Linked DNA regions of Oryctolagus cuniculus. The main gene of each other region encodes a partner of the protein of the gene in region 4 in a complex. Links are inferred from orthologs where the notes say so. Each region holds a gene or a part of one and is shown on either strand. Other genes may lie near its edges.

The links.
Region 1: RUVBL2 (region 4) and ASDURF share a complex: the UniProt entries of both Homo sapiens proteins name them as parts of the PAQosome complex. The link is inferred for Oryctolagus cuniculus from reciprocal best matches to the Homo sapiens genes RUVBL2 and ASDURF.
Region 2: RUVBL2 (region 4) and EPC1 share a complex: the UniProt entries of both Homo sapiens proteins name them as parts of the nuA4-related complex. The link is inferred for Oryctolagus cuniculus from reciprocal best matches to the Homo sapiens genes RUVBL2 and EPC1.
Region 3: RUVBL2 (region 4) and PFDN6 share a complex: the UniProt entries of both Homo sapiens proteins name them as parts of the PAQosome complex. The link is inferred for Oryctolagus cuniculus from reciprocal best matches to the Homo sapiens genes RUVBL2 and PFDN6.
Region 5: RUVBL2 (region 4) and ING3 share a complex: the UniProt entries of both Homo sapiens proteins name them as parts of the SWR1-like complex. The link is inferred for Oryctolagus cuniculus from reciprocal best matches to the Homo sapiens genes RUVBL2 and ING3.
Region 6: RUVBL2 (region 4) and UXT share a complex: the UniProt entries of both Homo sapiens proteins name them as parts of the PAQosome complex. The link is inferred for Oryctolagus cuniculus from reciprocal best matches to the Homo sapiens genes RUVBL2 and UXT.
Region 7: RUVBL2 (region 4) and BRD8 share a complex: the UniProt entries of both Homo sapiens proteins name them as parts of the nuA4-related complex. The link is inferred for Oryctolagus cuniculus from reciprocal best matches to the Homo sapiens genes RUVBL2 and BRD8.

What each region holds. Positions count from the first base shown.
Region 1 is NC_091434.1:50,691,753-50,695,952, reverse strand, and holds the start of ASDURF (ASNSD1 upstream open reading frame protein), read left to right. Parts: upstream 1-1,400; 5' UTR 1,401-1,598; coding exon 1,599-1,688; intron 1,689-3,143; coding exon 3,144-3,197; intron 3,198-4,200.
Region 2 is NC_091444.1:102,680,675-102,684,174, reverse strand, and holds part of EPC1 (enhancer of polycomb homolog 1), read left to right. Parts: intron 1-955; coding exon 956-1,115; intron 1,116-2,842; coding exon 2,843-3,019; intron 3,020-3,400; coding exon 3,401-3,490; intron 3,491-3,500. UniProt on the Homo sapiens protein: Component of the NuA4 histone acetyltransferase (HAT) complex, a multiprotein complex involved in transcriptional activation of select genes principally by acetylation of nucleosomal histones H4 and H2A.
Region 3 is NC_091436.1:135,834,645-135,837,753, forward strand, and holds PFDN6 (prefoldin subunit 6), read right to left. Parts: upstream 1,663-3,109; 5' UTR 1,405-1,662; coding exon 1,341-1,404; intron 1,140-1,340; coding exon 1,069-1,139; intron 989-1,068; coding exon 864-988; intron 693-863; coding exon 563-692; 3' UTR 501-562; downstream 1-500. Other genes in the region: WDR46 (WD repeat-containing protein 46), read left to right, coding at 2,062-2,130, 2,227-2,439, 2,552-2,632, 2,783-2,895, 3,015-3,102. UniProt on the Homo sapiens protein: Binds specifically to cytosolic chaperonin (c-CPN) and transfers target proteins to it. Binds to nascent polypeptide chain and promotes folding in an environment in which there are many competing pathways for nonnative proteins.
Region 4 is NC_091449.1:8,259,068-8,261,925, reverse strand, and holds part of RUVBL2 (ruvB-like 2), read left to right. Parts: intron 1-1,139; coding exon 1,140-1,246; intron 1,247-1,351; coding exon 1,352-1,445; intron 1,446-1,655; coding exon 1,656-1,779; intron 1,780-1,935; coding exon 1,936-2,030; intron 2,031-2,105; coding exon 2,106-2,224; intron 2,225-2,858. UniProt on the Homo sapiens protein: Possesses single-stranded DNA-stimulated ATPase and ATP-dependent DNA helicase (5' to 3') activity; hexamerization is thought to be critical for ATP hydrolysis and adjacent subunits in the ring-like structure contribute to the ATPase activity.
Region 5 is NC_091434.1:156,936,687-156,940,646, reverse strand, and holds the start of ING3 (inhibitor of growth protein 3), read right to left. Parts: upstream 2,801-3,960; 5' UTR 2,602-2,800; coding exon 2,574-2,601; intron 2,325-2,573; coding exon 2,253-2,324; exon of another isoform or gene 1,530-2,252; intron 1-1,529. UniProt on the Homo sapiens protein: Component of the NuA4 histone acetyltransferase (HAT) complex which is involved in transcriptional activation of select genes principally by acetylation of nucleosomal histones H4 and H2A.
Region 6 is NC_091453.1:33,158,954-33,161,735, forward strand, and holds the end of UXT (protein UXT), read right to left. Parts: intron 902-2,782; coding exon of another isoform or gene 838-901; intron 643-837; coding exon 516-642; 3' UTR 501-515; downstream 1-500. UniProt on the Homo sapiens protein: Involved in gene transcription regulation. Acts in concert with the corepressor URI1 to regulate androgen receptor AR-mediated transcription. Together with URI1, associates with chromatin to the NKX3-1 promoter region.
Region 7 is NC_091437.1:25,976,058-25,979,557, forward strand, and holds part of BRD8 (bromodomain-containing protein 8), read right to left. Parts: intron 3,327-3,500; coding exon 3,280-3,326; intron 2,525-3,279; coding exon 2,310-2,524; intron 1,056-2,309; coding exon 963-1,055; intron 776-962; coding exon 707-775; intron 179-706; coding exon 1-178. UniProt on the Homo sapiens protein: May act as a coactivator during transcriptional activation by hormone-activated nuclear receptors (NR). Isoform 2 stimulates transcriptional activation by AR/DHTR, ESR1/NR3A1, RXRA/NR2B1 and THRB/ERBA2.

The DNA.
Region 1 (4,200 bases), on a different chromosome or scaffold from region 4:
CCTGCCTCTCTGTAATTCTGCCTTTCAAATAAATAAATAAATCTTTATAAAAAATACCCATTCTATGGCAAATAAAAACAGGGGCCTGCGCCGTGGCTCACTTGGTTAATCCTCTGCCTCGCAGCGCCGGCATCCCATATGGACACCAGATTCTGTCCCAGTTGCTCCTCTTCCAGTCCAGCTCTCTGCTGTGGCCTGGGAGGGCAGTGGAGGATGGCCCAAGTGCTTGGGCTCCTGCACCCTCATGGGAGACCAGGAAGAAGGCTCCTGGCTTCGGATTGGCACACCACCGGCCATGGTGGCCATTTGGGGAGTTAACCAACAGAAGAAGGACCTTTTCTCTGTCTCTCTCACTGTCTATAATTCTACCTGTCAAAGAAATTAAAAAAAAATAAAGAAGCCTGTTCTAAATTTCAGATAGACAGATACATGGAGAAACATAAAAATTTACCAGTCCAGACCTCATATAACTTTTCTTACTAGAAGACCCGATGAAAGATATGCTAGGGCTTAAAAAAAGCCACCAAGTACATCTATTAAGTCACACAATTTGTCTACATCTCATAAGTGCACTTAAGCATCTCCATAGAACATCGTGATTCCCAACACTGGAATATAATTTTCAAATATGTGGTCTCATATGCAAATATAAAATAAACACATATCATGGTTTTATTTAACTCATTAGTAAATGAGGAAACCAGTCAGATATGAAAATCAATTCAAAGAGCATTTGAAAAGCAAGGAATTTATCAGTCAAGAAATGTCAGACAGGACCTCAGTGTTACATACATAACTGATTAATGTCTTCCAGATAATAAATCATAACCTTGGAAGTATCTTATTGACCTAGTAGAAATTATTAGCATTTTTACCAGTCAAAAATCCACACGTTTGCCTCTGCTTTTGTCCCCTGCCTGCACCAGGTTGTAAAACAGTTCAGTTCATTGAAAGTCAATCCTAGAACAGCACTGAAAGAACATCAGGTAATCTCTTGCCTATTTCCAACTTTTGGTCATTTTTTTTTTTGCAAGAATGAGACATTACAAATATTGCATAGGATGTACACTAATAAAAGTATTCATTCACCTGAAATTCGTATAAAATTGTATTTAGCTGAAAACCCTAGTTACAAATTAACAAAAACTTTTCCAATTCTGTAGGGTTCGGTTGCCAACATTGTGTCTATGAAATCTGTGCTTTAGTTCAGGATCTGACTGGTTAATAACTAATTGGTGTTTCTACTGCGCGTCTGTTCTTTATTTGCACCAATAGGGGGCGCGTGTAACTTGTAGTCCAAGAGCCCACAAAAGTGTTTCTACCTCCGATCCGCTGGGGGTCGGCGTATGAATTGCTTAGATTTCGCAACCGGGCTCGAAACACTGGCGCTCTAGGCATTTGTGCGCATGCGTAGAACCGCTCTTGGCGAGGGGGCGGGGGCGTCAGGCCCGGACTGCGCAGGCGTTGGAGTGAGCGCGCGGAGGAGGTTGGTGAGACCTCTGCAAGGCAGGTGACGCTGCCGGCGCTGTGGCTGGGGCGGTCGGTGGTGGGACTCTCGGGAGCTCTGGTGAATCCTGCGTGTCTGCGGCTGGTTGGAGATGCCCGGCCGGGGCGTGCACCCGGAGGACAGCGCTGTGCCGGTCCCCGCCGGCGGCCGGACCTTACACAAGGAGGATCTTTGCAACAAGGTGGGCGTGGGACGCAGCGAGCAGGCCTCCCGGGCTTAGGACCCGGCGCCTGGGGCAACCCAGAGAGGGCCGGCCGCGAGCAGCGCGGGGCTTCGCTGGAGACGGCCTCGGCTTGCGCTGCTCTGCTGTTGGTAGCAGTCGGCACTTCCCCTTCCCTGGAAGTAGTCGCGCTAAGCGTCTTGTGGGCTGAGTTTCCGCGGCCCTTCCAGATCTGTAGCTCACCCCTTCCGTTACCCCTGCCAGCGGCATGGGCTCATCCTTGACGTCGGTCTACACCTGAAACCCACTTCCGGTACGAGTGTGACTTTAGTCCCGAGGACGCACGCTCCTGCGTCCCTGAACGAGCCGCCCTCATCGGCTGCCCCGGACCCCCGCAAAGGGCTCCCTAGCCCACCTGCTGCCTTCTCTGTTCCCCGCTGTAGCCGCAGTGGCCGCCCTAAACCTCGCACATCTGATTGTCACTCATCTGCGGAGAAAGAGGGGGAGGGGAGCCACTCTGATACTGACCTGAACTGCCGGAAACAGGTGCAACCTTTAAACGTGTGGAGGAGGGAGTTCAATGTCCTGCATTCTTCACTGGTTCTGCTCCAAGCTAGTAGTGGTGTCTTGGACAGACCTCTCTGTTCTCTCTGCATCACAGCTTCCTTCTTTGGTGGGAAGTGAAATACAGACCTGACATCCCTAAACTGCACAAGAAAGCACTGTGGTACAAGCGTTAAGTCTCAAAGAGGGGGAGGGTATAGTTTCAACCTTGGAAGTCAGCCTTATCCTGTCCCTTCTGCAGCTGTGTCAGCTCTGGAGACAACAAGGGGGAGACTCATGGGGCAGGGAGTGAATTTGCAAAATACAGCCCACTCTGCTGCCGACCTATGGCAGATCCCTCAAGTGTGTGGTGCAGTGTAAAAATCTTACATCTGGTTTTAGAGGCGCTGGTGATGTTAGGTAATAGATCGTGTTCATAAAATAGCCAGTTACTAGAAAGTATCAGAAAGTTTGCACTTACTTGAGTTCTCTCCTGAAATTGAAAAGTGAAGCCAGCACTGTGCAAAGAAGATTGATGCCAAGACAGGGGGATTTAGAACTACTTGGTTAAAAGGACTGTCTAGCCGCACCATTTAGTACACAAATCGTCAGAGACTGGTATTACTTCTGGTGCATATCGTCTGTTTGTATAGGCCTTGTTCAGTAACTGTGGCCACAGGCATGAAGGCCGGTTGCCAACATCAAACCCACTGGCTGGGCTCCGTGGGTTGTGTGACATTTAGATGTCTAATGCCCATTTCCCCCTCCACCTGTGCACACATAGACTGGAAAGAATCTTCTCAGACTGCCCATTTGGACAATCAGCGCATGATACCTTCTTACGCCATCTGCCTAATTTTAAAGCCGTCATCTAATTGAACATGTTTTTAAGAGTTAAAATTCTGTTTTAAGCGTTTCTCTTTATTTCAGTAGATTAAAGAACAAAAAGTCGTTGTGGATGAACTTTCTAACCTGAAGAAGAACAGGGTGAGTTATAGAAATTCTGAATAGTATGTGGGAAGCTTGGTTATATTTATATTATATAAAATCATAAAAGTTGTATGGAAGGTTTATATAAAGGTTGACAAGTTTTCGGCATCTCTTTAAATTGCAAAAGCCCAGTGCCTACGTTTATTTTAAACTGTACGTACATAGATCTCATAAAGCTGAAGATGTCTCTTCCTTTTCATATGCCATTTACACGACCTTTAAAGCTAATGACGCAGATTGGATTTTGGTATCTTCAAGCTGTACCACTAATGTAACTATTTTATGCTTGAATTTGGTGTGTATTTTTGAAATAAATGAACTTAAAGTTTATTGAGAAGAAACTATCCCTTAAAGTAAATGTTGAACAAAAAATTACTTCTCTCACCGCCCCCCCAAAATCTTCTCAGTGCTTAGCATTATTTTTAAATGCAATTTCTGTGTATATATTCATAAGCAAGCCATCTTTGTTGCTTCATGTGTAGTTATACATTAAACTACATTAAAATTACATTTTAATGTTCAGGAGTAAATGACTTTGAGCTCTTTCAAGCGCCTAAAGATTATAACTGACAGATTAGACATTTCTGATATTGTTGCCAGCTACAAAGATGTCCATCACAACACTGATCTATAATACTTGAGGGACAGTAATACCTTAAATGTCTAACATTTGAGGATTGAGCAAATAAATGTAGTATGTCATACGATGATATTATAAAGGAATACATATTGATAAGAAAAAGTGTTCTTGATATAGTCATTGTAAAACTATAGATGATAGTAGAAGCCTTTTTTATTAAAATAACAGTGGTATTATGGTTTACAAGGGAAAAAAACAAGTTTCACCTCACTGGTAATGATAATAGTGTCTGGGTGGCAGGATGGTTGGTAACTTTTATTTGTCTCTTTGTTATCTGTATTTACTAAAGTAAATTCCCAAAGTTTACAAGTATGTAGTAGTAGGATTCAAAGATTTGACATCTTTTTAGATCATATCTTG
Region 2 (3,500 bases), on a different chromosome or scaffold from region 4:
GAAGTGCCAGGGCCCTAAGCCAAAGCCTGGAACTGGGACCTCGACCCAGGTCTCACATGGGTAGGAGAAACCCAATTATTTGAGCCATTGCCACTTTCTCCCAGGGTCTACTTTGGTGAGAACTGGAGTCAGGAGCTGAAATTGAATTCTGGCACCCACAACCCAGTACTAGACTTAAAGAGAAGGAAAAGAACCCATAAATGTTATTCAAATAACCATGCTGCACGATAGATGGTGGAAACGTCAAGCCTCACTGCTTTATTTTCAGTGCCTCTCTTCAAAGAAAGTAACTTTTTGTGCTTCCTTTCTGAAAAATGAGTTTCATTGTAGAGGCAATTCTAATAAGCAGAAAGTTCCTCAGCACCATTAGGCAATAATTTCAGCTTTTCCACCAAATCTGTCACCAGAATTGCTGTTAACATTCCAACCTTTGTTTTTTTCCCATAGTCATCTATTACTTGCAGAGGTCAAGCTAGCAAGCCAAAAATATAGAAAGAAGAAACAAAAGGAATTAGCAATCTTTCATTTTAAGAGATATCCAGCAAATAGTTTAACTATAATGCTACTTTAAGTCTAATTGATGTTTATAAGTATATCCCAGTCAGGTATGGGATAAGAACTTACAGAAGTCAGTTTTTAGCCTTTTCCCTAACTTTATTTAGGTATAATTGACAACAGTTATGCATCGTTCATTAATTGGAGTATACAGATTTGAAGTTATAAACTGAACAAGGTCTGGAGACCAGATGTGCAGTATGGTTAATTATAATATCCTACATACTTGAAATTTGCTAAGAGTAGATTTTATGTAATACCCCCTCAAGTAACTGAGGTGATGAATATGTTAATTAGCTTGATTGCAGTAATCATTTTATAATCCATGTTTTATCAAACCATCACTTTGTGCCCCTTGAATGTATTATACAGTTTTGAGTTTTCTTTTTTATAATTTCAGGTATAATTTGGGTGACTACAACGGTGAGATCATGTCTGAGGTTATGGCACAGAGACAGCCACTGAAACCCACTTATGCCATCCCTATCATCCCTATTACCAACAGCAGTCAGTTTAAACACCAGGAAGTAATGGATGTGAAAGAGTTTAAAGTTAATAAGGTGAATAATGTTTTTGTGATGATAGTATCTGACAGTGGGATGGGATTTTATTAGTAGTAGGAAAATAAAGGAGAAAAATACATAAGCCATACCATGAAGTAGAACCTTAATGATTATGGCATATTATGAAAAGAAACTGAAAGTTTAAAATAAATTTTTGTTTTTGTTATTTCCTTATCTTATATAAAAGGATGACTTTGTTACTATAGTTGATAAGAGAAGTATTTTACTAACTATAGGATTATGAAATATTAAAATAATTCAAACAAAATATAGAAGTTTAGAGAGAAGGACAGGAAATCCTTGCTGATAGGATGAGTTTGTGATGTTCTTTTGTGTGTGAGATACATCAGTGTGTAAGTGGAAGGCAAGATAGAAGAAGGAATTCAGGTATCTCTTTAAATGTGTAACAGAGATAATGGATTAGAAATGGAAATATGTGACACATTAATACTTAACCAAATACTTGGCAGTATGTAAAGAATAAAATTGATGAGGAGAAATAAAATTAGTGGAGGGAAATTAAGAAAGGCAATTAAGTGGTACCTTCTTGGGAAAATGTGGGTCTGAGGGAGAAAAATCTGTTTTTTCATGCGCATTTAAATTTATCCCCCATGGACACACTGAAATGCTGTATTGATCAGATTTTTTTCTGCCTGCCTTTTCAATTTACTACTCCTAAATACACTTTTTAAACACTAGTGTAGTATTTTAAGTCTGGTCCCCCAGTCTGAATCTTGTGTAACTTTGCACGCTATTTCTGTGTTGTCCTTCAGGGTTTAGATTTCATGACTGCACTCCTAACTATGCGATTCTATCCTTTCTGAATATGTGAGAAAGCTGGGCCCGAGCCCTTGAACATGTATTAGTTTAAATTCTTCCAGATTAAGATAGAATCATTAATTGAAGCTGTTTTGGTTTTCTTGGTAGTTTTTATAGTAGTTTAAGTAATTGCATCCCAGATTAAGTAAGATCAAACTTTTAAATTCCATAAAACTTAACACAAATATTTTGCACAGTTTCTTACCTGTGCTATTTGCCATTATCTTTTTCTCCCCAGTAAATACCATTTTGCATCTACACTCACTACCTGTTGTCCACACATGAGATCCATACTTCTAACTTAGCATTGTCTGCCACATGCATTTCTCCTGTGAGCTGACTTCATAACTCACCTATTCTTTGTCCTGCTTTTCTCCCAGTATAATAATTTTATATCTTTATCCTCAAAAATTGCTCAAAATTCACCACTCCACAAAGCCTTCTTTGTTCGGTTAGCAAATCCTTCCTTTTTGTTTTTATGGCCCCTCGGTGTTCAACGGCTTTACTCTGCACACCGTATTAACAGTCATGTACAGTTCACCACTTTGTGTGTCACATTGTTTTCATTATGATTTTCCCTGCACTAATTTGTTGTTTCTTGAGATTAAGTGTTGAGAAGTAAGGACTAGATGTTTTATTACTATTTTCTCCTATAATTTTCACAGTATAAATGTTATAAATGTTAATTGTAGGAGCTGGAGAACTTCTGTTCTCATCTTACTTTAATGGAATCAAAATAATTTATAGGACTATGTTTAGATGGCCAGAAGTAAAAGTCTGTGTCTCCTTTGAATAGAACTGTCTTCATTATACAAATAAGCTGCTTTTTAAAATTTCCCAAAGAGCAGCAGGTTTGTTGAACATGGTTTCTAGTGTCTTTAATCACTTTCGTGTCCTTGTTGTAGCAAGATAAAGCCGATCTTATCCGACCGAAACGGAAATACGAAAAGAAGCCCAAAGTCTTACCGTCGTCTGCTGCTGCTACTCCTCAACAGACGAGTCCTGCTGCACTGCCAGTCTTTAATGCTAAAGATTTAAATCAGTATGACTTTCCCAGCTCAGATGAAGAACCTCTCTCCCAGGTAAATACAAGACCTTCTCAGGGTGGGCATTGTGTAGTGGGTTAGGGGGTGCCCACATCCCCCATCCATGTACCTGCTCTGCTGTGATCCAGTTTCCCGCTAATGCGGACCTTAAGAGGCAGCAGGTAATAGCTCAAGTAGTTGTGTCCCTGCAATCCACATGGAAGACCTAGGTTAAGATCCAGGCTCCTGGCTGCAGCCTGGTCCAGCACTGCTGTTGCTGGCATTTGGACAGTAACTGGGGTGGAAGATACTCTGTGTGTGTGCCTTTCAAATCAACAAATAAGTAAAAATTTTTGAGAAAAGAGTGTCTCTCTATAAAAATAGAGGAAGAATGTAGGAAGTCACACGTTTGACCTACTTCTTTTGTTGTACTCAAAGGTTTTGTCCGGCTCTTCGGAAGCTGAGGAAGAGAATGATCCCGATGGTCCCTTTGCTTTCCGTAGGAAAGCAGGCTGTCAGTACTATGCTGTAAGTGTTG
Region 3 (3,109 bases), on a different chromosome or scaffold from region 4:
GTTATTTTGGTACAGAAGCTTTGGAGTCATGCATGTGATGGGTCTTCAAAGAGTACATGGAAAATGCATGATTCAAAATGTCTTGCATGGAAATATTTTTATTGAGAAGCAGAGTCAAAAGCCCCCACCTGCTGTAACCCAACCTTTTATTTCCATTTTCCCATGAGCCCTACGGAGCACTTGTATTCACAGCAAGGGGAGGAGTCACATTTCATCCTGGGTTCTCAGAGAATTCTGAGTTCTTCAATTTAAACGACACTCCCAACAATATGCTTAGGTTGTAAATGTCCTTGTGTTTCCTAAAAGGCCGTGTCTTAGGAAAATAACGGAGAATTAAGGGCTGTACATACGAGTACAGGTGAGGAGCAGCTTTGAGACATTTTAGAGTTTAGTTCCAGAGACTGCAGGTGCTGGAATGTGGGCTTGAGGGAGTAACAGTGGTGTGTGGTGTGTGGGTCAGGTGATGGAGGCCGGGGGAACAGACAAGCAGGACAACAGAGCCAGGTGTTTACATTTTATTAGGTACTTAGAGTGGCCCATCCCACCCCGCCCCGCCCCGAGGTCAGGCCTTCCCGGGAGCCCCTGCCTTGGCCGCCTGGGCCCGCTGGAACTCCTGCTGCAGCTGGGCCAGGGTCTCCCTCTGCTGCTCTGACTGCCGTTCCAGGTCCCGGAGCTGGGATTCGTATCGCTTACTGAGGAGAGGCCAGGGGCCAGAGAAGACAGGGAGAAGTTAGAGGGACTTGCTAGGGGGAGGGGCAGGCCGCGTTAAAAGGGGAGGCTTCCGTGGGCTGCTCCGAAGGGCAATCCACTCAGGTCCCCAGCACCCGCCGGCCGACAGCCAGGGCAGTGGGACAAAAACTCACATTTCAGCTGTGATGTAGTCCAGCCTCTTCCCCACCGTGGCCCGCGCCTCCCCCAGCTCCTGCTTAACCAGCACCGGCCCCAGCAGTTTAAAGACCACGTTGGACCCGTCCAGCAGAGCCAGTTCCTGGTGGGCGAGCGGGACGGGTCTGATCAGAACCGCAGCCGGTCCAGGCTGCTCCGCCCCCACAACTCCCGGCCCCTCACCTCCTTCACGATGTTGTTTTCCGTTAGTTGGGCTTCAAGCTTCTGCCTCCCTGACATGGATTTACTCAAGTCTAGGGAGGAAGGGAGACGTGAGTGGGACACCAAGAGTGCCACGGGCTCCCACAGTCCTGGCCCAGAAGGCGGATGTGAGGAAGCAGACCGGGAAGAAGGGGCGAGTATACAGGCGGGGAAGGAGCGGGCCGGCTGGGGCGGAGAGCTCGTTTCGGCTAGTCTGCGGGCTGCGGCGAGACTACGCCCACCCGGTCCCTTACCCTTCTGTAGCTGTTGATACTTCTCCACTTCTCCCTGCAGCTTCTTCTGGATCAGCTCGGCCATGGCGGGGATGAAAGCCTGCGGGAACGGGAGAGGGGCGCTGGGGTCGAGCTCCCCTTTCTGGTCGGGCCGACGGAAATGACAGTCCTCTTGAGAGGCAGTCCTTCGGGGCACCGCGGCCTCTCCCTGTCCGGGAAGTCGAATCGACCCGACCCCAGTGGGTGCAGGACGAAAAGAAACGCAAAACCCCTGAAACGGTACCCTAACCTACTCACGTTCTCCCTTCTGTATTAATCAACCCGGAAGTAAACATGGAATGCTGGGAAAATCAATCCGGAAGTTGCCTCCAGGTTGCATGTCGGGAAATGTAGTTCTAACATTTTTAATAAGCGGCATTCGGCTGAAATGACTGGACTCAGAAGGTTTTAGGCAAGACAGAGAAGTTAATCCGGAAAAAGACTATTCTGTTACTGGTTTCTGGCCCGGACTTGACTTTTTTTCCCCATTCCTCGGGTATAAGCTGCGGCGCCCGAGGGAGATGCCACAGCACGCCCCGCCCCTTAAAGGAGAGTGTGCCCTCACTCAAGATGGCGTGCTCAAGACTTCAGCCCTGGAACGATGCTGATTGGCTGAGGCGGAACAGAGGACTTCCGGGAGAGTCTAAGCCGACTGTGGGACAGCTGAGAGATTTGCACGTGGATCGTTGTTCCAGTGGGCGAGATGGAGACAGTCCCAAAGGCCAGTCAGGATGCCCCACCCAAGAAGGACAAACCTCAGGCCAAGAGGAAGGTACAGGCTTCTCTGGACGGGCAGGGAGGTTTTAGCTGTGGGGTTCGGGGGCGGGACGTGGGCCGCGGAGTTCCAGGGCTCCTGATCTGCCCGTAGAAACCGCGGCGATACTGGGAAGTGGACACCACTCCGAGCGCCACCGGCGCCTCTCCAGGCCCGCCTCCTAAGAAGAAGCGGAACCGGGAGCTCCGGCCCCAGAGACCAAAGAACACTCAGGTCACAAAGAAGTCGCGCATCTCCAAGAAGACCCTGGTCGCGAGGAAGTCTCGAGGGCCGAAGAAGCCGGAGCCCCAGCGGAGCTTGTCTGGGGTGAGCCTGCACCGCGGCAGGGTGGCGGGGGCAGGTTTCTCTGTGCTTTGCGAGTGAAAGGGTTGGGGGGTCAGCCCGAAGCTGTGAGCTGACTGCCTCCTCTCTGCCCCAGGCCCAGGACCCCTTCCCGGGCCCCGCCCCCGTCCCGGTGGAGGCAGCCCGGAAGTTCCGTCGCATTGACAAATCTAAAAAGGTGAGAATCGCTGGACGGTGGGGAAGGACTGGAGGCTGGGAGCGCCTGGGTGAGAAGGATGGAGGTGGGGCCCGGTGGCTCTGCTGTGATTCTCCGTGTTCTCCCTCCGCTCCTCCTCCTCCTCCTCCTCCACTCCCAACGCTGTTGTAGCTGCCGCCTTCCAAGTCCAAGACGCGCAGCAGACTTGAGGCAGCTGAAGCTGAGGAAGAGGAAACCAGCGTCCAAGCTGCCCGCTCAGAGTTGCTGCTTGCTGAGGAGCCTGGGTGAGTGGACCCCGACCTGGCCCTGCCGGCCCTCGTCTCGCGGGATTTCCCTGCCTCGTTTTATGTTGGTGTGCCCACTTCATAGAGGGAGCTTTACTGCAGTATGGACGCTCTTCCAGGTTCCTGGAAGGGGAGGATGGGGAAGACACAGCAAAGATCCGCCAGGCTGACATTGTGGAGGCCGTGGACATCGCAAGTGCAGCCAAGGTGAGGC
Region 4 (2,858 bases):
AAGGAAACCCTGACCCCACCAGGCAGGCCCTGCTGCTTGTCCCCTCCCCGGAGCCCCTGGCTGGTGGGTTCTGGTCCTTGCACGTCAGTGGGACCCCAGCGGGGGGCCTTCGGCGTCTCCTTTCGCTCTGTGTGGCGTTTTGGAGGTTCTTCTGTGTGTGTCAGAGCCACTGATAGAATGCGGCTGACCCCCCTCCCCTGACGCCCCTCTTGTTTTTCTGTTTTCTGCTTGTTGTTAGTGCAAATAGATTGAAAAATGGCCTTCTAAATTAGTTCCATCTCTTGGCAACTAAGTTTTGAATTTTAAACATGTGGTAAAATATTTAAATTGGGGGCAAGCTCTTCCCAAGGTACTTATTTAAGTTATATGCTTTGCCACACAGGAAATCCCTGGCTGTGTCCCCCCGGCAGGCCCGGTCAGGATCCGCTACTGGGGATGTAACTGAGAAACGTGAACTGTGCTTGTCTCGCAGGGTGGGGCCTGGAAGTTGTGTCTCCTTGTTTCTGCTTAGCTGGGTTTTCCCAATTTTTTAACATGGGTATAAAAGAGGAACGTTGGAGTGTGACCCTGCTGGCCAGTTTGTGGGACCTTTCAGATTTAATTATTTGAAAGGTAGTGTTAGGGAAAGAGAATCTTTAATCTGCTGGTTCACTCTCCAGATGGCTGCAATGGTTGGGGCTTGGTCAGGCTGAAGCCAGGAGCCAAGAGCTTCATCCAGGTCGCCCACATGAGTACAGGGACCATCTTCCACTGCTTTCCCAGGCCATCAGTGGGGAGCTGGATCAGAAGTGGAGCAGCTGGGACTCAAACCTGTACCAATAAGGGATGCCAGTGTCACAGGCGGAGGCTTAACCCACTATGCCACAGTGCTGGCCCCTCTCTTAACAGGCTCTTTGAGGTGTGAGTGTGAACAGCTCTGTGACGGACAGGTAGAACTCTGCACAGGCTGAGAGTGTGCACCGTGGCCGGCGCTGGCCTGTGCTGTGGCGGGGAACAGACCCCTCACCCCCAGGAACTCCCCGTGTCGCCTGTTCTGAGCTGTGTCAGCAGAGGCCGGCACAGGGCTGCAGGCTCATCGGGGAGCCTTGGGCAGCACCGGGCCCTCTCTGAGCCCCTTCCTGGCTCATCTCCCCTCACAGGGCTCCAAGGTGGGCAAGCTGACCCTCAAGACCACAGAGATGGAGACCATCTACGACCTGGGCACCAAGATGATCGAGTCCTTGACCAAGGACAAGGTCCAGGCCGGGTGAGCAGGCAGGCTGTGCAGGTGGCCTGGGTGGCCCGGGTGGCCTGGGCGGCAGGGACTCAGACCCCCCTCCATTCTTCCTCCGCCCTCCCTCCCCACCCACAGGGACGTGATCACCATCGACAAGGCCACGGGCAAGATCTCCAAGCTGGGCCGCTCCTTCACACGCGCTCGGGACTACGACGCCATGGGCTCCCAGGTGCGCCAGGACGCTGGGGACACCCTCGACCCCGGCCGTTGGATGTTCTGTCGCCTCTGTGACCACAGGGCCTGGGTCCTCCTGTCCCTGTGCTCCTGGGTCTTGTAACCCGGGACGCTGCCCCTCACTCTGAGTGCCCTTGCGTGCCCCTTGGCTTGACCTCCCCTCCTGGGCCTGGGGTTTCTGAACGACCACTCTCTGACCCCCCAGACCAAGTTCGTGCAGTGCCCAGATGGGGAGCTCCAGAAACGCAAGGAGGTCGTGCACACCGTGTCCCTGCACGAGATCGACGTCATCAACTCCCGCACCCAGGGCTTCCTGGCTCTCTTCTCAGGTGAGGGTCCAGGCCGGGCAGCCCCCGACTCCCCCCGGCCTGGGGACATGGCGGAGACCCAGCTCGCCGCCGCTGGGATCTGCTTCCTCTGTGCCCACCCTGCGGTCTCGGCCTCGTCGCCTCCCTGACTCCCCGACGCCGCCCTGGCTCCTGCAGGTGACACCGGGGAGATCAAGTCAGAAGTCCGCGAGCAGATCAACGCCAAGGTGGCCGAGTGGCGGGAGGAGGGCAAGGCGGAGATCATCCCTGGGGTGAGCACCGGGGCGGGAGGGGCGGGGGGCCTGGCCGGGAGGGCGTGCCCTTGAACTCGAGCCCCCGCGCCCCAGGTGCTGTTCATCGATGAGGTCCACATGCTGGACATCGAGAGCTTCTCCTTCCTCAACCGCGCCCTGGAGAGCGACATGGCGCCTGTGCTCATCATGGCCACCAACCGTGGGATCACCCGGTGAGCTGGCACGGGGTCACGTGGGGCCCCGTGGGCTGCGGGCTCCCAGCACTGCTGGCTCCGACAGGAAGCCGTGCCTTTCCCTGGAGCAAGGCAGGTGGGTGACTGGGTGTAGGCAGCTCGCCCCGGCCCCAGGAAGCTCTCGGGGGTGCTGTGGACGTCTTAATCCTGAGGGAAGCACAGTGACCTCTGTCCGACCCCGCACAAACCACTGAGCCCCGGCTGCCTGGGCAGCGCGTCCTCTGTGTGATCGTGGCCTCAAGCTGCCCTGGCAAAATCCCTGGCATCTGACCGGCACCGTGCCCTGATGAGTCCCGGGAACCTGTGCCCTGGGTGTGGCCTCCGTGCCCCACCCCTGCACACGCGTCAGCCATCAGCCTGTGAGGAGGGGGAGGGCCAGGAGCCCGCATTGCCTGGGATGTGGAGCCTGCACCAGCGCTCCCACCGGGCCCCGCCCTGCTGGGACGCTGAGCCGTCACTGTGCAGCAGGGGGCCATCAGTGAGCCGGGAACTGGGCCCGGCCAGGCGGGGCGCTGGGCAGTTTTGCCTGGCTTTTGTCTGACACTGTTCCTGGAAGACCTTCCTGGACCCTCAAAAGAAGCCCCGCAGGGCGCGGTCGTCTCCGCCAGCTTCA
Region 5 (3,960 bases), on a different chromosome or scaffold from region 4:
ATCTGACAATAAACACTGTTCCACTTGACCAATAACTTGAGTATGTTATGCTTCAGTTACATAAATACATAATGCTCACTTAACTTAATCTTTAAAAGTTACACATTTCCCTACTACTTATTTATGTTGTTTTTTAATTTTTTCCAATAATTAAACTAGGATTAACAAAGTGGATCAGAGCTAAACCACAGTTTTTGAAGAGTACAGCCTCAGGGGGTTGGGACACAGTCAATGGCTAGCGGTATTTAATCAACTGAATGTGCCCAACCACAGTTACTCACAGAGACCACCACTAAAATATCCTCACATGGCTTTTCATAAGAAAATCAGTAAAAAGTTTTTAACAACTGGCTCAATGGCACTAAGCATTCCATCATTTCATATCAAAGCTGAAAGCAGTAAGTACAACCATTTAGCACTTCATACACGATATTATTTATTCTAAGTAAGTTTTTCCTGAAGTATATGCCTAGAATAATGAATAGTTTTTCCCAAAAAGAGGAAAAATAAAAAGATTTCCATTGCTAATTAGGTTGAGGAAAATCTCTGTACTATACTCATCTTTTGGAGATTGCCAGTGCATAATCAGCTTTTTAAAGATTGAGAAGTCCCATGGTTAATTTATAAAAAAGTATTTTCCTTTGGGGTGCTGTGACATAGTAGAGTAAGCCTCTCCCTGCAGCACTGGCATCCCATATGGGCACCGGTTCCTGTTCTGGCTGCTCCTCTTCTGGTCCAGTTCCCTGCTAATGATCTGCGTGGGAGACCTGGAAGAAGTTCCCAGCTCCTGGCTTCAGATCTGCTCAGCTCCGGCCGTTGAGGCCATTTGGCGAGTGAACAAATGGACGGAAGACTTCTTTGTGTTTCTCCCTCTCTGTCTGTAACTCTTTTAAATAAATAAATAAATAAAATTTTTAAAAAAGTATTTTCCTTTAAGCATTCCCTAACTTACGTGACATATGGTCATTTTTGTTAATTCATAATACCTATTAACTTTAAAGAATTCTACTTATTGTTAAAAAAATGCTAGTTTAAAAAAACTTGTAGTTTGTACAAGCTAAGTTCAAATTAAGAGAATTTAAAATGTGTAACTGCAATGAAAATGTTTATAACAGAGCCACCCTTTCTTTAACACCTACTTTGTATCAGATATCATACATTCTAACTTATCTGTATTATTTTTAATTCTCATTGGATTCTCTTATTACAGTCAATGGAAACTTCTCAAAAGTGGTAATGCAGTCGATCGAGGTCAATGAGTCTACTGATAAAGCTATAAAATAAACGCAGATCTGCCCGACATCGAAGTCCACACTCCGTCCTACACAGAACTCTACTCAGCGTGTCACTGGCCTTTCACTACACTGCAGTTCAAACGCATGTTGTCAGCCAGCTGCAGAATCGTGCTTCTCACTTCCTGCCACGCTACAATCTAACCAACAGAAAAAAAGGTGGCTTTTGTGCCACATTCCCACTTGTTACGTGCTACATAAAACTGTGCAGAAGCTGAGAAAAGCAGAATCATGAACCTTTGGGTAGAGAATCCTAGGTGGTCACCAAGTAGACACACGGAGTGGATTGCGAAAGAAAGGTTCTTCAGCCACCTCGGGTAGTCTCTGGGCCACCTACTTAAGAGTCCTTGTCTGAGAAAAAGTCACCAGACTCGCAAGCCGTCACTGGAGGACAGGGAAGCCCGCTGCCAATTATTACCACTGACCAGCCTGGCAGCAACATCTTATCTCCCGCTCATTCTGCCTGGAAAAGAGGATCGAGCCCACAACTCCAAGCTTATCCTATAACGTGTGATGACACTCCAGGTTTGCCGGGATCTCTGAGGATCTACTCCTAAGCCGGGCTCTTGGACGTTTCGGAATGAACTCGAACAGAAGTACAAACAGATGCTGAAATCCAAGTTCGATCCATAAAGGCGCTGGTCAAAATCTCAGCATTTACGGGATCATCGCTAACCCACACCCGGTATTACCCTCATGAGGATATAAAACATTTTTTTTTTTTTGCACAGTCCCATTTCGAGGAAGCAATACATATACTCTAATGCCTTCTTATTTCGTCACAGGAAAAAAAATAATAATAAATGGAGCGTGGGAAGAAAAAAAAAAAAACCAGGCGCGATTTGGCCCTGCCAGCTCTTCTCCACAACTTAGGTGCCCGCGGAGCGCCGCGCAGGAGCGGCGGCAAGCAAGCCCGGCTCGGAACGCGCGCGGCGGACGCGGGCAAACGTGCCGACTTACTCTGCACCTGCAGATCCATCTCGCGCATCTCCGTGAAGCGGTCCCGCAGGTCCATTGGAAGCTGCTCAATCACTGTCAAACAAGAGTCCGTCAGAAGGGCGGGGCCCACAGCGAGCGTACGCGCCTGCGTCACTGCGTGCGTGCGTGCGTGCGTCGGGGGGGGTCGAGGGAGCGGGCAGCCCACAACGAGGCTGCCAGTTACCGTGAGAGAGAAACATCCCCCGCCTCCCCCTCCCTCCCGCCATCCCGCCTGCCCGTCCACTCGCGCTCTCGCCCGACCGCAGGTCCCACGGGCGGCCCCCGCCGGCGCCGCGCACTCACTTTCCAGATAGTCCTCTAGGTACAACATCGCGGCCCTTAGAGCTGGGGGAGCGAAGGGGTCCAGGGGTTTATTTGTGTCACTCGCTGTCGCCGGAGTTTTGTCCCTTCCAATATGGCGCCTCCGCTAGCAGCACCCGCTCGACTCCGGCGAAAAAAAAAAAAAACAAAAAAAAAAAAACCACTTTGGGCGCCTGACGGCGCTTGCCTCATTGCCGCCCGGCGCTGTCATTGGCTGGCTGCCGCAGTGACGTAGGCCGGCCAGGGCCTGCCCGAGCGCCTTTGTGGGAAGTGTAGTTTCTGTTCCTTCTGAGGCAGGGCGGCCGTGCCGCCCGTTCTGTGAGGGAAAACTACGGACACCAGGCGCCATTGCGAGCGGTGCGCGGAGGGCTCCGAAATGCGGTGCCTCTGTTTATTTGTTGATTTTGGCACAGGGGATGACGGGACTTGTATGCGCCGGCATCAGACAACTAGGAACAACTTTTCACCTGTTCTTTGCTGCGGTTCCATGCCCGGCGTTTGTGAGTCATGGGTTTCGCCTGGTGCTGGGCACACAAGCAGAGGTTCTAAACGCTAGCGTGATCAGCGAAGTTCGGGCGATTCCCATTGTTGCAGACAGAATTCGGTGCTTCAGTGTTGACCGCCGAAAATATAAGGGGGGAGGGAGGGACGTCTGCTTGACTCCATGTAGCCTTCAAATAGTTTATCAAACTGTGGCGTGTATGTGCACTCCCCGGATGAAAGGTGCTGGAATAGTCATCAGCGCCAGTTTAGACGAGAGTGGTTTGTTTCTTGTTTTTTTTTTTTTGTTGTTGTTTTTTTTTGTTTTTTCGGTCCAGCTCATCGTCATTGTCATCCTCATGTAATCTGTACATACAACCTATACCTGCAGCAACAACCAAAAAAAAAAAAAAAAAAAAAAAAAAAACCCTGAGCAGTCATAAGTAGCGGGTGGAGCCTTGATGTCTAATGAGCTGAACCAGCAATTTAGATTATGTTGAGTAAGTAGCATGTGTTAGAAGTCCTGGGCGTTGTCTTCCCCTACTTTTGGATTTCTCCCTGCCAATATTGACCGGTGATATATGTTAAGTGTGCATTGCTGAATTTATTTTAAAATGTTTTTCCTCAGGAGACTCTTACTCTAAGTGTTAGGTGGTGGTGTTTCCCATCTTTCTTAACTCTCTCCGTTTTTCAGGGAACAGTGTCGTCAGTGTGAGTGTTCTCCGTAGCCGCTCCTCTGCTCAGGGCTTTTCCACTGGTCTTAAGCAGGATGCTTGACTGTCCTGTTGATACGTCTCAATGGAAACTTACCTGGTCCTATTAAGAATTAACGTAGTTAATTTTACACACTTGAAGCTAAAATCTAGCACCTTCACTCTTCCTCCTTTCC
Region 6 (2,782 bases), on a different chromosome or scaffold from region 4:
ACTAAGTGCTCACAGAAAAGACAGGGTCAAGCTGTGGCTAGAGTTATTAAGGGGGCGGAACCTGGCTCTGTGCTGACTGGGGGGCTGGACCAGGGAGGGCAGAATTTGGCTCTGCGCCTATTGGTGGAAACTGGAAGCAGAGGCCAAGGTTGGGCTGAGCCTGGCGTGGGTGTAATTGATGGTACCTGAGGAACGATTGGGATTTGGGAGAAGGGTTAAACCTTAGGGCTAGGAGTGAAAGGCTGATTGCCATGGGAACAAACCTCCACCCTGAACCTGTCCATTCTCCATGGCAATTCAAAGGGCGATAGCCAGTAAAAGGAATGCAAGGAAGGGTGTGTGTGTGTGAGGTTGCCATGGTGACAGAGGGCAGAGCCTAAAGTCAAGTAGCAAATGCTGCCAGGCAATAGGCCGGAGGCAGGACTTCCAGGGTGCTTTAAAGGATCCATAGAGAAACTAGATCTTCCAATTAATGCTGGACTCTGGAAACAGGGTGCCTTGGCAACCCGCAGGAGTTAGGGGGAAAAAGAAGGGCCATGTGACTCAAAGGCATTCAGGATCTTTAATGTCGGAGGATGCGGTAAGTAGTCAATGGTGAGGCTTCTCTGGGAAATTCTGCAGGCCTTGTAGTTCTCTAAGCCCCTGAAAAAAAGGACAGAAAGGATTTAACAAGGGACGGGTCCAGGCCCCACCTCAGGCTTGCTCTGACCTCCCCGCCCTTGGATCCAGTTTAGAAGGAAAGATGGTCCTTTCCTTCGTCGGCTCTCTCCCTTCTTTAGGTCATCACCCTAACCACATCTGGACATAGAGGCTGGGAGTGGAGTGAGCTGCTCTCACCTCTAGCAACATGTGGATATGGGCCTTGATAGTCATGGAGTCCTTGGTGAGGCTGTTGCTGAGCCTGGAGAAAAGAAACGAGAATGTGCAAAGTGGGCCCCACTTATGAAGATGACCCTTCCTCATCACTTCAAGAACTACCTACATCTGGGATGACTTCCACCCATCTGCTGTGCAGAGATGCCTGACCACAGTCTGGACCTGATCCAAGGATTACCAAATGTCTAATGTATGCCAGTTTTAGGCACTGGGGAGATAGCAGCAAACACAACATACAAAAATCCTGCCTACACGGGGCTCAAATTCTTAGAGACAAATAAATGATGGACTAAAATATATGGTATGTCAGATGGTTCTAAGTATAATGAAAAAAGGAAGCAGTGATGGAGGGAAAGTAGTATGGGAGTGGGAGCTGCCATTTTTAATACAGTGCCTAGGGACAGCTCCATTGAGAAGCATTTGAGTGAAGCTGTAAAGAAGCAAATAGTGCTATATGAAGGCTGCACGGTGTTCCACACACAAGTAGCAGCAAATACAAAGGTGTTGAGGTGGGAGTGTGCCTGGCATGTTTGAGTCACAGCTAATAGGGCATTGTGGCTGGAGAAGAGTAAGTGAGAGGTACTAGAAGAGCTGAGGTCAGGGAGGTAAGGGGGTGGGTGCAGGGAGTGGGAGGCAGGCTGTGTAAACCTACAAGGCCATGTTAAAGAGCCTGGCTTTTCTGCTAAGTGAGCTGGATGCCAGGGGAGGGCTGTGAGCAGAGGAGGGAGGTGAACTGAGTTGGGTCACAGAGGATCCATTTGGATGCTGTGTAGAGTGACTAGGGATAAGGAGAGTAGTGTGGAAGCTGGAAGTCCAGTGAGGTGGCTATGGCAATAGTCCAGGTGAGCCATGGAGGATCAGACCACAGTGGCTGAGAAATGACTGGATTTAGGGTGCATTTTGGAAGTAGAGCCTACAGGATTTACCAAAGGGTCAGCTGTTGGGTGTGAGATAGGACGCTAGGAAGATGCTAAGGCCTAGGCACCCTGAATCTAGAAGTGCCTAAACCACCCTGGCTCCGGACTGCTGGGATACATAAAATAGTAAATTCCTTTTGTGTGAGCCAATTTGGATCAAGTCCCTCCTGAAATAATCCTCACTGATACAAAGAATGAGAAGGAACTGACTGAGAAAGAGTTAAGCAGCAAAAGGGCCCAGAGGCAGGAAAGAGTTTTTTAAGGAACAGCCAGGAGATCAGAAACTTAGAAATTAAGTGAACAGTGAAAGAAAGTGGTATAAGATAAAGTCCAAAAAGGTAGGAAGGGCTAGATCATGCAGGGTCTTCTTATTATGAGAAATGTGGATTTTATTATGCTGTCAATGGTGCAGTCAGTTTGAGGGGAAAATGAATCTAAGTACTGAATTAAAGTACATAGTAACAAGATAGGCTGTTACACTGGAAAAAATAGGATGAACTCATCTATATGCCAATACTTCGCACACTTTGTATTTCCAGCCCAGACCTTTCCTGAACCGGACTTGGGAGTTTTAACTCTATCTTCAAAAAATCGACTTCTGGGGCCCACCCTGTGGTGTAGTAGGCTAAGCCTCTGCATGTGGCACCAGCATCCCATATGGGCGCCAGTTCATGTGCCGGCTGCTCCTCTTCTGATCCAGCTCTCTGCTATGGCCTGGGAAAGCAGTGGAAGATGGCCCAAGTGCTTGGGCTGCTGCACCCATGAGAGAGATCTAGAGGAAACTCCTGGCTCCTGGCTTCAGAAAGGTGCAGCTCCAGACGTTACGTCCATCTGGGGAGTGAACCAACGGATGGAAGGCCTCTCTCTCTGTCTCTCCCTCTCTGTAACTCTACCTCTCAAATAAAACCTTTTCAAAAATCGACTTCAGTGTTCACTAAGCACTTCATACTTAACAGGCCTCAGATTGAGCTCTTGATCTTCCCCTCCAG
Region 7 (3,500 bases), on a different chromosome or scaffold from region 4:
CTGGATCTGTTCCAATACATCTCGCTGCATCTCCACTGCCATGTGATAGACATCGTGGTCTGAGCTATTGTACATCACAGCATTCTGAAACATCAGCATAATGTCACGCTGAAATTCAGCTGTGCTGCGAATCAGTCCATTTTCAATGTTTTTCTTAATAGTTGATAAATCCATAGGCCTAAAAAAATGAAGAGGAGTAAAGAGCAGCAGAAGTGGGAAAAGGACTCACCTGATCTCTGAATAAATGATAAACATGATAATACATGATAAACTTTCTTACATATACCTTATTCCTTCATTATTAGCTGCTAGGACACAAATGCCAAGCCCCCACTCCAAAACATGCACTTAAGACAGAGAGAGAAATCTTGCATCCACTGGTTCACTCCACAATTGCCCACAACAGCTGGGGACAGCCCAGGCCAATGCCAGGAGCCAGGAACTCCACCCAGGTCTCCCACATGGATGGCAAGAGTCCAAGTACGTGGGCCATCATCCACTGCCTCCCAGGTGCATCAGCAGTAAGCTGGATTGGAAGCGGAAGAATGGGACTCAAACCAGCACTGCAATATGCGCGATACGGGTGTCTCAAGCAGCAGTTTAACAGACTATGCCACAACATCTACCTTTGTACTTAGATCTAAAGTAAAAATTCACTAAGACTGGACAATTTATAATTCAGGCAAGTCAGCAGAGCATGGCTTACCTCTGTACAATGCTGTGATAACCAGGTGCTATGTCATCTGTAACAGGCTGTAAGAAGACATTCGCATATCTGTCCGAAAATAATTAACATGCAATTACTAAACAGATGCACATGGGAAGGAACTTAGATCAAGTAGCTAAAGGTAGGTAGAGACACCACCAACAGTCCCACAGAAGCCTACTTAGACTGCTTTCTTTTCATCTACAAAGAGGAGGACCAGGAGGGAATGAACCTACTGATGGGTAAAGCCACTCACCTATGATTAGCTGCCGCTCTCCACACAAGCATGATGGCTTTCTTCCATATTTTCTGTGCCTGAATAGCTTCTTGATCCTCACTACAGACAGAACTGAAATAGACACACAGATCAGTAGGCAAGGTGAAAGAAAAAAAAGCCCTAATTATTTCATGTCAGTTATTTCTTCCAGGCCAAGAATAGGAAGATGAGAAAATAAGATTAAAGAAAAGGGGGCTGGCATGTGGCATAGCAGGTTAAGCTACCACCTGCAACACTGGCAACCATATGGGTGCCAGTTCGAGTCTTGGCTACTCCACTGCTGAGCCTGGTAATGCTCCAGGGAGGGAAAGCAGCAAATGGCCCAAGTACTTGGGCCCCTGCACCCATGTGGGAGACTGGGATGAAGTTACTGGCACCTGGATTCAGCCTGGCTCAGCCCCACCTGTTGCCACATTTGGGAAGTTAACCAGAGGATCAAAGATATCTCTCTCCCTCTATCACTCCGCCTTTCTTTTCTTTTCTTTTCTTTTCTTTTTTTTTTTTGACAGGCAGATTCGACAGTGAGAGAGAGAGAGAGACGGAGAAAAAGGTCTTCCTTTGCCGTTGGTTCACCCTCCAATGGCCGCCGCAGCCGGCGCACCGCACTGATCCAAAGCCAGGAGCCACGTGCTTCTCCTGGTCTCCCATGGGGTGCAGGGCCCAAGCACTTGGGCCATCCTCCACTGCACTCCCGGGCCACAGCAGAGAGCTGGCCTGGAAGAGGGGCAACCGGGACAGAATCCAGCACCCCGACCGGGACTAGAACCTGGTGTGCTGGCGCCGCAAGGCGGAGGATTAGCCTAGTGAGCTGCGGCGCTGGCCAAAAATCTTTTCTTTAGTCTTACTGTTTTTTTATTTTATTTTATTTTATTGATTTGAAAGGCGGAGTGGCCGGCGCTGCGGCTCACTAGGCTAATCCTCCGCCTTGCGGCGCCGGCACACCAGGTTCTAGTCCCAGTCGAGGCGCCGGATTCTGTCCCGGTTGCCCCTCTTCCAGGCCAGCTCTCTGCTGTGGCCAGGGAGTGCAGTGGAGGATGGCCCAAGTGCTTGGGCCCTGCACCCCATGGGAGACCAGGATAGGTACCTGGCTCCTGCCATCGGATCAGTGCAGTGCGCCGGCCACAGCACGCCGGCCGCGGCGGCCATTGGAGGGTGAACCAATGGCAAAAAGAAGACCTTTCTCTCTGTCTCTCTCTCCCACTGTCCACTCTGCCTGTCAAAAAAAAAATTAAAAAATAAAAATTAAAAAAGAAATAAAGGAAAGATTTTCTCCTACTTCTCACCTTGACTGCCTTGGACTCAAACAAAGAAATCTCTAATACTCACAACTGTGAAGAAGCAGGGCTGCTGGGGATGGAGTCGGCCAGTGTATGTGACTGCAGTGTAGCATTGTGTATGCTAAAGCCATCATCACTCTCGCTCACAGGGGGTTCATTATCCATTTCTGACAAATAGCCTTCTCCTTGATCTTCTTCCTTAGGCTCCTCTAGGCTGGCTGCTTCACTGACCCCATCTTCTTCCTCATCCTCACCTGGGGCATCCTTAGACACAGTGTGCTCCGGTCAACAAATGCACGTAAAGCTATCCAGCAAAGCATCATTAAACATGGTCTGTCTTTTGGGTTAGATCAACTCTAGAAATGGCCTCACACTTTGAGCCCTCTATCACTCATACTACCATCTACTTAGCAGACACTGACTAAATAAAGTAATCTAGAACCTGGACAAAGAATAAAATCCAGGATCTTTTTAAAAGGAAGAAAAAAAAAAAGCTACTTACTTAAGACTAAGCTAAGAGGCGTTCCTTCTTTCCCCTTGCTCTTGAGAGGAACTCTGACCCTGGGTACAAAGTTATCAAAAATAGTTTTTACTTCGTGTCTCATTTGATGGAGCAAGCTCACATCGCATTACTTCAAATCTTTTTTATTACTGCTCTAGTAACTCTAAAATAAAAACTTCAGATGATTCTCTTTGAATAGTCTAAAAAAATCTGATTTTCTATAGTTTCTTCCTGGCTCTAGTATTCCTATTGACTCCAAATCACTTGGGGTGCATCAGAGCTTCTTTGTATACTTCATGCCAAGAAAATAACCATGTAATGTTCAGATGGGTAGCACGTGCAGTAATTATATGTACTCCCATATGCCTGACTGTCCACTACAGCTTTTCCCCATGCAACTCCTTACCAGTCTCATCTCAGAGAATAAAGCTGTGAGTTTACTGAAATTCATTAAAAAAGGGAGTGCTATAGGGAAATCTATCACATGGCAAGAGGAATAAAGAAAAATCTGAAATACCTTTATCTGGCTTCCAAAAATAGCCCCTGATTCTTCTTTCAATGAGTCTGCAGAGGAGAGAAAGACTACCTGAAGATTTTTCCACCTTAGCCTTCCCCTACTATGGACCGTAATCCCCTGCAGCTCTCCTTTCCATGCTGACCTATTCTACTTCCTGTACTTGCCCACAACCCACAATCCCTTAGAAGCCAAAGCAAATGATTTCAAGTTAGTCACAGAGT